Xenopus tropicalis: one gene and its partners. The protein of the gene in region 1 interacts with the protein of each later gene in a pairwise test. Links are inferred from orthologs where the notes say so. Each region holds a gene or a part of one and is shown in the gene's direction. Other genes may lie near its edges.

Evidence for each region.
Region 2: the proteins of exoc2 (region 1) and ralb interact in a two-hybrid assay, tested with the Homo sapiens proteins (2 studies listed by BioGRID). The link is inferred for Xenopus tropicalis from reciprocal best matches to the Homo sapiens genes EXOC2 and RALB.
Region 3: the proteins of exoc2 (region 1) and exoc1 interact in binary tests that used the Homo sapiens proteins (3 or more experiments, as listed by UniProt). The link is inferred for Xenopus tropicalis from reciprocal best matches to the Homo sapiens genes EXOC2 and EXOC1.

Annotation. Positions count from the first base shown.
Region 1 is NC_030682.2:87,183,414-87,187,063, forward strand, and holds part of exoc2 (exocyst complex component 2), read left to right. Parts: intron 1-361; coding exon 362-484; intron 485-1,824; coding exon 1,825-1,886; intron 1,887-3,135; coding exon 3,136-3,195; intron 3,196-3,650. UniProt on the Homo sapiens protein: Component of the exocyst complex involved in the docking of exocytic vesicles with fusion sites on the plasma membrane.
Region 2 is NC_030685.2:89,161,090-89,165,418, reverse strand, and holds the start of ralb (v-ral simian leukemia viral oncogene homolog B), read left to right. Parts: upstream 1-1,495; 5' UTR 1,496-1,561; intron 1,562-4,329. UniProt on the Homo sapiens protein: Multifunctional GTPase involved in a variety of cellular processes including gene expression, cell migration, cell proliferation, oncogenic transformation and membrane trafficking.
Region 3 is NC_030677.2:40,651,951-40,656,251, forward strand, and holds the start of exoc1 (exocyst complex component 1), read left to right. Parts: upstream 1-1,418; 5' UTR 1,419-1,511; intron 1,512-1,556; exon of another isoform or gene 1,557-1,650; intron 1,651-3,744; 5' UTR 3,745-3,781; coding exon 3,782-3,905; intron 3,906-4,301.

The DNA of each region.
Region 1 (3,650 bases):
GTAGTAGTGTACCCTGAACCCTAACAACTAAATAGCTGTTCAAACTCCATATTGGAGAATCGCTGAAGAAAAAGTTAAATAATTTTAAAAGCCATAACTGCTATAGAATACTTATACACAGTAAAGAGTGTAAACATTTGTAGATATTCACCCACTTCACCAAAAATGTAAAAAATCCTGCACTATCTTTGACACTATTCTCCAACCTATTTTATTTAATGAACAAATAGTTGCCATGTGTGAGCTGGGTTTTTTTTTTTTACAGTCTTCTATAGCTATAAATCTATTTGTAATTTAACCCTGTAAAGATATTCCAGTGTTTTCCATAAAGCAGAACTTCATTTTGTTTTGGTAATTTCAGGTATTTGCAGTTTCCAAAGAACTGGTGCCCAGAGTAATGGCAAGGATTGTAGAAGCAGTAGGTGATGAACTGAGCCGGTTAATGCAGTGTGTGTCCTCCTTCAGCAGAAATGGGGCTTTGCAGGTATATCAGTGCTATATCAGTTCTTCTTTAATAATAAAATTAGTTTGCATCTTTATCAAATCATATAGCTCCATTCATATACAATATGTATGTTCCTAATGTTTTTTGTCATCATTGGCCAGTATTCCTAGTTAAAGCTGAATTATCCCAAGAGGTTTTTCTAGAACATGGTTTCAGTTTTTTAAAAACAAACCTCATAGAGGTGGGGGCAATATTTTATAATCTGTATAGTATGCTTCTCTATTTGTGAAAAGCATATTGTACGTTGCTTGTAGGCTCTTCGGTAGTCATGTGCAGGTTCAAAGAAAATTGATCTGCATCAGCCCATACCCACCTGCTCCCATCCCATGCCAGACCTATTTTTAGACTCTTCCATGACCCACCTATCTCTGACTTCATGAAGGGCAGACACATGAATAGGGGTTGCAGGAGGTGGAAGTGGAGCATACTAAGGTCTGGGGGGGTGGGAAGAAGGAATAGTTCTTCCCAAACTCGCCCACCACCTGCAAAGAAAGTGTGTAGAATCAGCCCCAACCCATTCAGCCTAGGGTAAAATTGCTCATCACTACTCTTCAGAGCAGGGACCATATTCAAACAGTGTATTGCAACACCTAGATATTTTGACTTTATTCTTATTGTTTAAAGTATATATTTTACCTATAGCTCTGTTTACGCTCCCTCCTTGTAAAGCAGTGTGTACCACAGTGGTGCAATATAAATATATAATCAAAATATGAACATCTCAAAATGAATCTGGCCATGTTATAAAAGTATAAACATATATAATTGTAGTCCGAGCACAATCGTTGACAGCAAACAGGATTTTCTTTAGAGCCCCAACACTGCATAGTGTGTTAGTAATAAATAAATGCCTGGAAACTTAATTAGCAAAAATGAAGTATGCTTTCCTGTTGAAATCTGTTTGGATTAAAGAAAATTACAGTTAGATGCATTGTTAAGTGCGTCATTGACTAAACAAGAAGAGTAATTTCTAATGGGATCTATGCAGAAAAAATTTACCTGCACCCACCTACAACCCAGTTGCACTTGTAGGGTGCTATAAGCCTCTCACAGCCCAATCCACTGTGCGAATGTCCATGTTCAACACTAACCATTTGGGCAACCACTAAAATATTTTATCCTATTGGTCGCGTGTTGCCATATTGCTTGGTACATTTTAATTAAGAATAGCTAAAAATCAATAAATTGCTTTTAGCCTGTTTGTGTGTTCATTGATTTTGTGGCACCATTATTAGTGGCATTACAGAGGGTGAGAAATCGTATAAAATGAATACACATTAATTGTTTTTATATCTGTCACTTTTTTGATTTATTTGTAGGCGAGACTTGAGCTTTATGCTCTGAGAGATGCTATTGCTATCTACCTGACAAATGACAGCAAGTAAGTTTTTTTCCTTTATTAAATTACTAAATCATGTAAGTAATGACAGGGGATCCTAACTTTTATTTGTTCGTCTGTATTTAAAAAATAATACCAGTATGCCAATAAGTAGAAGAGCTGCTGATTGTTATCTTTGGAAATGAATCCTGTTCCTTAGGCAAAGCCAAAGCATTTATTCCCATCTACTATTTCCTACTTTTTCTCCTACCCTCTCCTCCCTGCTCTGTATCCATGCTCTCAGCCCCTCCCACACACTTTACCGCAATGTCTTTGCTCTCTACACCCCTCCAGTTTTGATTGTATAGTGTAAATTGGAATTATTGGCCAGCATGTCGGTCTGAGTTATGTGAATCTTTTCTTGTGAAATTTTCAATAAAAAACATAAAAACACAATGTCTCAATATTCTTTTAACCTCGTTCCCACTCCTTGATGTTCATGCTCTCACCTTTGTACCTTGACCCTGCATGCCTTCCATCCCATCCCATCTTCTCCAATGTCGATGTTTTCCCTCTCCTACATGCATGACTCTCCTCCCAACTCCTTGCCCAAGTTAATCATTTTCTTTCAATATTGCAGCATGAATATTTTAGCTGTGTCCATAGGCCTTCAGGTCTTCATAGGCCACTATTTTTCACAATTGTATGAACAAATTTTAGAGGATAAAATCAGTAGTATCCATACCTGACACTTATAGGGAGAAGAAAAGGCATAATCACAGGGGTGGCAATTTGTTAAGCACATTCCACAGGGCCAAAGTAATAAAAGTAAAAATGTTCATTAATGTAGAATTAAATGATAAATAAACAGTTTTTTTCTAAACTTAATGCTTAATGTCTCCGTCCTTTCTCCATTTGATTTGCATCAGGATTAAGGATTTAAATTGGCTGGTTCTTGTACAAAAATCCACCTTTGAAAATAAAGGTGTTCAAGCTCAAACCAGTCAAGCCATTTGGGCATAGTGATACATTATTCTCCATTTCTGTTTTCCATTTCAGAGAAGAAGCTAGAAAATGGGGTTCTTCAATGGAGAACTAAACCCTGATTTGGTGTTTTTCTGCAGTTTGTTCTCTTAAGACAATAAACCTTGTATCTGTGTCTTATGCATTAATAAATAAATGTGTGTGTGTCTCTCAATGCTATGTGCACCAATAAATTATGATTATAAAGAATTATTTGAAGAGAATAGAAAGACACACAACAAACTGTATTGCTCTGCTGTGTGTAATATGGACCCATTTCTATTTACAGATCCAGCTTCAAACATGCCGTGGAAGCCCTGCCGCAGCTGCCAAGTGGAAGTGATAAGAAGTGAGTCAAACACATATAAACCTTATTGGCTCCAGTGCCTCCCAAGTAAATGGAACAAATGAACATTTGAGACATGCATTTTGTATAGCCCTTGACTGAAAAGGATTAAAAAAATGTTGCTGCCAGTGAAAAATTGTGTAAAAAAAAATGGTGAAAAAATGTGCATATCCCTAATTTAGAATATATTGTAATTATATGGTCTTGGGTGGTTGCAGAATTGCTATTGTGCGGCAACCTTAGCACACTGTATAATCCCTTTCCTTCTTCAGGACCACGTCTGGCTTCTAGCTTGCATCCAGAATTTGTATAAAACCCAGAAAATGCATGTAAGCACAACTGGATTGTATGGGTTTTACCCCATTAATTGGAAAAACTAGTGCAATGCATTGCCATGGAGTCCCCTATTCAGGAACTATGGCCCAACCCATGCTACTTCAGGGTTGCACCACATCTGC
Region 2 (4,329 bases), on another chromosome or scaffold:
GAAAGTGATCAATACAGATCTCTAGATGCTGCTGGGAATCTATAAATAAGCCTCTACATACAGATTCACAGCACTCAAAGGTGAGCCAATGAAATTGCTCTATTAAATGACTATTCCTAAAGCGTTAGTTCCCCTTTAGTTAGAGGAATTTTTTTTCTCCACCCCCTTGTACAACACAAACGCCTGTTGATTAAGTAAGAGATCCCCATCAGCAGAGATGTAGGAAATAAAAGAAATGACCAGCCCATAGACAAAACCTCTGTATAATGAGCAGCAGCTTAGGGAAGGGGGGCTTTGTTTATACAGAGCTTATTATCTGCATTCAGAAAAATTAGGCAGTTTTTGTATGCATGTGTTTTTAAGTATAATTCCTCTCATAATGTTTCAAGAATGAATCATTATCACCCACATGAGCTCGGATCGGTTGCAATCGCTGATACCCATAACCCCCCGCTTATATCCCATGTCCAGGGTTGCCAGATTTATTTTTCCAAACTAGCCAAAGTCAGTTCTAAAACCAGCCCAAAACTAGCCAAAAGCCACTTTGTAAGTAGCCCAAAAATAGCCCAATATACGCAATGAAAAAAATTCTAAAAAAATACAAGTATATATGGGGAAACCTGCCTTATTAAAGCGTATAATCACTGCCCAGTTACTGGGATGGCTGGTAATTCCCTCTGTGCCCAGTCCAGCTGGGAAGTCACTACAGAAATGGATTCAGAATGTTCCATTAACCCCAGATATGATATATATATATATGGGTACATTGAACTACAACTCCCAGCAGCCCCTGAGATACCCTGAGAGTTATAGCTTAATGACAAACTGCAGAACTACCCCCACATCCCAGTAGAAAGTAACAGTACAATCACATACCCTATAGAGCAGGGAGCAGGGGGTAGAACTGCCCCACATCCCAGTAGAAAGTAACAGTACAATCACATTCCCTATAGAGCAGGGGGTAGAACTGCCCCACATCCCAGTAGAAAGTAACAGTACAATCACATTCCCTATAGAGCAGGGAGCAGGTTGCAGAACAGACAGGTTGAGCCTATGTCCAATTGCATGCTGGGTATTGTAGTTTTATATAAATCCTTGCTGTAGGCTAATTGTTAGATACAAACTACATTACCCAGCATGCAGTGGGACAGGCACACTAGGGAGGGAAAAACGTTAGCTAGTTTCAAAACTACAAACCCGCTAAGGCTCCAAAAAATAGCCCAAACCTGCACCTTTGGGGGGTTGTACTTTGGAAACCCGCCAGGGCATTAAATTAGTAGCCCAATTTGGCGGGAAAACCGCTAACCTGGCAACCCTACCCGTGTCCCACAACACCGGAAGCCACACACAAGTTGAGGGAAAGTAGAATACAGCGGTGCGCATGCGCCGGAGGAGGCGGGACGTTGGCGCCACACAAAGCCACGCCCATTAGCGTACCGCGCTTGGTAATTATGTCCCAGCCCGAGACCCGTAGCGGTTGCAGGAAGTTGGGGGAGGAGGAGCCGCGCCCGGGGAGCTGGGAGCAAGAGAGGGACCGGGAGCGGCGAAGGGAGACCAGGAGGTGAGTGGGGCGGGGGGGGGCGGCGTTTGTCTTGTGCTTCTACCGGCACCCCCTTATATCTTCACTCTCACTTCAGCCGGTCCATAGGCTTCTCCCCACAGCCGTGTAATGGAACTAGTCCCCTACTCCCAGCATCCTCTACTGACTTACCCAGCATCCTCTACTGACTTACCCAGCATCCTCTACTGACTTACCCAGCATCCCCTACTGACATGCCACCCTTTACCCAGCATCCCCTACTGACTTACCCAGCATCCCCAACTGACTTACCCAGCATCCCTGACTGACTACCCAGCATCCCCTACTGACTTGCCCAGCATCCCCTACTGACTTGCCCAGCATCCCCTACTATGACGTTACCCAGCATCCCCCTACGTGACTTACCCAGCATCCCCTACTGACTTACCCAGCATCCCCTACTGACTTACCCAGCATCCCCTACTGACTTACCCAGCATTCCCCTACTGACTTACCCAGCATCCCCTACTGACTTACCCAGCATCCCCTACTGACTTACCCAGCATCCCCTACTGACTTACCCAGCATCCCCTACTGACTTACCCAGCATCCTCTACTGACTTACCCAGCATCCCCTACTGACTTACCCAGCATCCCCTACTGACTTACCCAGCATCCCCTACTGACTTACCCAGCATCCCCTACTGACTTACCCAGCATCCCCTACTGACTTACCCAGCATCCCCTACTGACTTACCCAGCATCCCCTACTGACTTACCCAGCATCCCCTACTGACTTACCCAGCATCCCCTACTGACTTACCCAGCATCCCCTACTGACTTACCCAGCATCCCCTACTGACTTACCCAGCATCCCCTACTGACTTACCCAGCATCCCCTACTGACTTACCAGCATCCCCTACTGACTTACCCACCTCTCATTCCTACACCAGCATCCCCTACTGACTTACCCACCTCTCATTCCCTACACCCAGCATCCCCTACTGACTTACTTACCTCTCATTCCCTACACCCAGCATCCCCTACTGACTTACTTACCTCTCATTCCCTACACCCAGCATCCCCTACTGACTTACTTACCTCTCATTCCCTACTCCCAGCATCCCCTACTGACTTACTTACCTCTCATTCCCTACTCCCAGCATCCCCTACTGACTTACTTACCTCTCATTCCCTACTCCCAGCATCCCCCTAAAGCCCTGTCACTCATTCCCTACTCCCAGCTGACTGCCTGCATGGGAAAGGGGTGATGGGAGCTGTAGTTCAGGAGTAACTCCCAAGCTGGAGTATTGTTACTGTTATAATTACTCTCAGGCAAATCTTGATCTGTCTCTGAGACCCTGGGCCAGTCTCTGTCCCTCCCCTGCTGTTCTGATTGAGTGGAAGGGGTTAACTCGGCCCCATGTGACACACGTTGGGGTGCCATACTGCAATACAGAAACATCTCACAGAAGCAGTGTTTGCCCCATGGGGCACTTTTTATTGCTTTTTGTGCCCTTGGCCTTTAATTATGAGACCCAGTGACTCCCTTGTGATGCTGCTGCCGCCTTTCCTATAATAAGTCAGCACCATATTTATTGCCCCCAGTGTTGTTGTTGTGTGACTCCTCCCTGTGCTACAGCAATAGGGGTACATCAGACTGGGGATTCTCAGCACTTCAGTAGTTTCCCCATTTGTTACACTCTCAGGGGAGTATTTTAATGAACGGACTCTTTTTATCAGTGCAAATACTTGTGTATGTACAGGGTGTTAAATCAACCTTAGGGGGCTGTTCCTGCTGAATTGTGCTTAGAACAGGGGAATCCCTATGTGCCATAGTTTTATAGTATCTCTCTGTACAGGCTATGGGCAAACTTAGGGGGCTGTTCCTGCTGAATTGTGCTTAGTACAGGGGAATCCCTATGTGCCATAGTTTTATGGTATCTCTCTGTACAGGCTATGGGCAAACTTAGGGGGCTGTTCCTGCTGAATTGTGCTTAGAACAGGGGAATCCCTATGTGCCATAGTTTTATGGTATCTCTCTGTACAGGCTATGGGCAAACTTAGGGGGCTGTTCCTGCTGAATTGTGCTTAGTACAGGGGAATCCCTATGTGCCATAGTTTTATGGTATCTCTCTGTACAGGCTATGAGCAAACTTAGGGGGCTGTTCCTGCTGAATTGTACTTAGTACAGGGGAATCCCTATGCTGCCATACTAAGCTGGTATAGTTACCAGTTCCCAAGCATTCTGAATAGCAGATGTAGACACAAGAATGGACAGTGGTTGCCAGATGCAGTGGCCTTAGCAACCAGTGTACAGAGCACAATGAAGGCCATGTGGAAGTGAGTGACATTACTGTGCCGGCAGTAAGACAATGGGGTGCCAGTAAATCAGGGTGGGGGGGGGGTACTTGTGGTGCCCATTAGAGCTGACAATAAACCATTGATTTACTTATTACATTTCCTTAATTAGCCCCGGGACCGGCTCATTCATCCCAAGTAATTGTCAGAAAATCTCATTTCATCTCTGAGCATCAAAAATATCATTTATCTTCTTGGATTTGCACCGGCCCAGTACGTACAGGCGACCCTCAGTCTCAATGGGAATTAGGGCTCACTGCTCATATGGCTTTACCCCCCAGCGTTGGGGACCCCCCCATAGTGCTGATTCCCCCCACAAGACACCACAGGGCACAGGTAGAGTAGAAAGACCCTATTGCTGCAGGTTACTAAGACCCTTTATTCCTACTTGCCTGGTACAGACCCCCAGATGCACCTCTTTTCCTTGGGCTTCAGCTGCAGTCTGGCC
Region 3 (4,301 bases), on another chromosome or scaffold:
GCGCAGCGTGGTGGAGCATGGCGGAAGAGGCGGGGGCAGGAAACAGGAGGGGACCCTTTTCTAATACGCTGCTCTGCGCGGGAAGGGGGGATCAGGTGAGTTAACCCCTTACATGCCTGGGGGTCATTAGCATATTGCTAGCTCCCCAGTCCCTCAGTGCCTTCTCTATTCTTTTCAGCACTCTCCAAGTGGGGTGTGGCTATCACAAGGGTGGCAAGGTTTACCATCCTCCTTGTTGATGAGGGGTTTACCCTAAATGATTCCATGGAATACTGTATTACAATATAGATTGTAAGCTCTAGGGGGCAGGGACCTCCATCCTCTTGTGTCTTTGACTCTTAACTTATTGCAACTGTATTTATCTTGTATTTATGTGTATTTATTGTTATACTTTGTATTTATCTATTATTATCTTAAAGGAGAAGGAAAGGCAAAGTCACTTGGGGGTGCCAAAATGTAAGGCACCCCCAAGTGACTTGAATCGCATACCTTTTACCCCGGGCTGGTGCCCCTGTTCAGAGAGAACAGCACCTGTAGCGATTCCTCCTTCCGTCTTCGCTCGCGCGCAGTAGAGTGAATAGTGGAACTTTAACAGAGAAGTCGGCTTTTCACTCAACTGCGCATGCGCCTATTGTGTTAGTCTTAGAGAAACGAAGCCGGAAGGAGGAAGCGCATCACTACAGCTACCCCGGGCTGGTGCTGTTTTCTCCTAACAGCGGCACCAGCCCGGGGTACGAGGTAAGCGATTTAAGTCACTTGGGGGTGCCTAACATTTTAGCACCCCCAAGTGACTTAGCCTTTCCTTCTCCTTTAATAATCGTATTCTACTGTGCAGCACTGTGTACATAAGTAGCGCTTTATAAATAAAGATATACATACATACTGTCAGGATGTCATACTTATAAAAGCTTACATGGTAGGGGCCCTGCTGGTAAATCTGCTATTGCCAGTACTTTGGTGGCCAGAGCAAACAAGGTATGGGTTCTAGAACATAGGAAACAATCAAGCAAAGGGCAGGCAGAGCCAAACAGTTCAACACATCAAGATACAGAATAAATACATGGCTGAAACCTGTTGATACTGTAAAGTTAGTTGCATTTATAAGTATAATTTATGAGTATCTCATTGACAGCCAGGAGTTTGTGGTTTAAAGGGAAACTGATTTGGATCAGATAAAAAGCTTCCAGAGAAACGAAAATATACACGACTTGTAAGTACATTGGGAGCTGTGGGGGTGAAAGTGAAGGCCGTGGCGAGACACAACACAAAAGATTTTTTTTTTATTCTGTAACAAAAGTAGGACGAGCATAAACAAAACAGATTTAGATGGGTGCTATCGCGAGTTACCAGCAGCTTCTGACTGTACAAACCTTAGTTAGGCCAGCTCGCCACTCCCACAAAGCAGCTCCGTGACGCGCCTCTGCGCTTTACGTGCAGTCGTGACGCTAATCTCGCGTGATGAGACTTGTGGCGGGATTTCCTGTGTGACAGGAGGCTGGGATCCTGCAGCTGTAAGTAGCGAAATGGCAGTGCGGGCTGCCTTAGCGGGACTGTTGGGCAGTATGAAAGCTGTGTAGGAGAAAGAACATGCAGGCGCTCTAGCAACCCCCGATAGCGGCCCTGCAAGGACCCACACATTTAATCCCAGAGGTGCTGCTGCTGCTGCCGCCTGTAGAAGCCCTGCTCTGTGTCACCCTGTCTGTATCAAAATAGCTCCTGTGGGGCCAAACCCAGCAGGGCCCTACCAAAATAGCTCCTGTGGGGCCAAACCCAGCAGGGCCCTACCAAAATAGCTCCTGTGGGGCCAAACCCAGCAGGGCCCTAAGGAGGCTGCTAGAAATTGCACACCAGTCTTCCCGATCTCCATATATAGAGTGAGCTCTGTTTCTGGGTAGTATTGGTTAGCTGTATAGGAGAAAGTATTGGTTGTATTGGTTAGCTGTATAGGAGAAAGGATTGGTTGTATTGGTTAGCTGTATAGGAGAAAGGATTGGTAGTATTGGTTAGCTGTATAGGAGAAAGGATTGGTTGTATTGGTTAGCTGTATAGGAGAAAGGATTGTTTGTATTGGTTAGCTGTATAGGAGAAAGGATTGGTAGTATTGGTTAGCTGTATAGGAGAAAGGATTGGTTGTATTGGTTAGCTGTATAGGAGAATGGATTGGTAGTATTGGTTAGCTGTATAGGAGAAAGGATTGGTTGTATTGGTTAGCTGTATAGGAGAAAGGATTGGTAGTATTGGTTAGCTGTATAGGAGAAAGGATTGGTAGTATTGGTTAGCTGTATAGGAGAAAGGATTGGAAGTATTGGTTAGCTGTATAGGAGAAAGGATTGGTTGTATTGGTTAGCTGTATAGGAGAAAGGATTGGTTGTATTGGTTAGCTGTATAGGAGAAAGGATTGGTAGTATTGGTTAGCTGTATAGGAGAAAGGATTGGTTGTATTGGTTAGCTGTATAGGAGAAAGGATTGGTTGTATTGGTTAGCTGTATAGGAGAAAGGATTGGTAGTATTGGTTAGCTGTATAGGAGAAAGGATTGGTAGTATTGGTTAGCTGTATAGGAGAAAGGATTGGAAGTATTGGTTAGCTGTATAGGAGAAAGGATTGGTTGTATTGGTTAGCTGTATAGGAGAAAGGATTGGTTGTATTGGTTAGCTGTATAGGAGAAAGGATTGGTTGTATTGGTTAGCTGTATAGGAGAAAGGATTGGTTGTATTGGTTATCTGTATAGGAGAAAGGATTGGTTGTATTGGTTCGCTGTATAGGAGAAAGGATTGGTAGTATTGGTTAGCTGTATAGGAGAAAGGATTGGTTGTATTGGTTAGCTGTATAGGAGAAAGGATTGGTTGTATTGGTTAGCTGTATAGGAGAAAGGATTGGTTGTATTGGTTAGCTGTATAGGAGAAAGGATTGGTAGTATTGGTTAGCTGTATAGGAGAAAGGATTGGTAGTATTGGTTAGCTGTATAGGAGAAAGGATTGGTTGTATTGGTTAGCTGTATAGGAGAAAGGATTGGTTGTATTGGTTAGCTGTATAGGAGAAAGGATTGGTTGTATTGGTTAGCTGTATAGGAGAAAGGATTGGTTGTATTGGTTAGCTGTATAGGAGAAAGGATTGGTAGTATTGGTTAGCTGTATAGGAGAAAGGATTGGAAGTATTGGTTAGCTGTATAGGAGAAAGGATTGGTAGTATTGGTTAGCTGTATAGGAGAAAGGATTGGAAGTATTGGTTAGCTGTATAGGAGAAAGGATTGGAAGTATTGGTTAGCTAATCTAATGTGTAGCGCTGGCTCCTTCTGAAAGCTCAGACTCGGGCACAATGCACTGAGATGGTTGTTGGTTCAAGAATAAAATTTTAAATGGTTGAGTGAATCCCTATATAAAATATAGTTCTCATAATAGCACCTACTGATTCGTTGGCCATTTTGCCACCTTTATCCATCTAGTAATCCACCAGCGCCTGGTACCTGTATGCTGTCTCAAACTCTTCTTCTTCTTATATCTTATTTATTTTTACTGTTTTTGAACCGCTTGTGATATTTAATTTTTTTTTAACTTTTTGTGTAATCTAAATATATTTTAACTCCCCATTTAATATGCTTATCATTATGCAACATATGTCACATCCTGATTTTTATCCATGAGATATTTATCTTTTGTTAAACGTAAAGAGATGCCAGACATATTGAAATGTTGTTATTATGAGCTAAATCTTGGTCTTACATATCTTTATTTGCTGTTTTACAGATTTATATCTATGATATGAAATAAGAATTGGATAAAAATGACAGCCATCAAGCACGCTCTGCAAAGGGATATTTTTACTCCTAATGATGAACGGCTGCTGAGTATTGTAAATGTGTGCAAGGCAGGAAAGAAAAAGAAAAACTGCTTCCTGTGTGCTACAGGTATGAGAAACATTGCTATTGCACTATATAGAACATACTGTATCCAGAATATACTATGTTTGTGATAGTATTTTACTTTTACCATGTGCTGATTTCTGGATAAAAGTGAGCACAGCATTATTATGCACATAGGCTTCTTTTTTATTAAAGAGCATATAAACATTGCAGCTTACTGCTGGGTTGAGAGAGGTAATGCTACAACACAATTCCTAATATACTGAGCAACATAGTGATCAGCTTGTAGGCTAATGGTGCATATGGGGTGTTTTAACGTCCACTCTCGCTGCTTCTAGTTCTAATTACTCTCTTTAGCATTCCAAGGCAGTGGTTCATATATCACCACCAGGGTTTGCCACTGACAGTTAGTTTTCCATACATCTTGATAGGAAGGGAGGC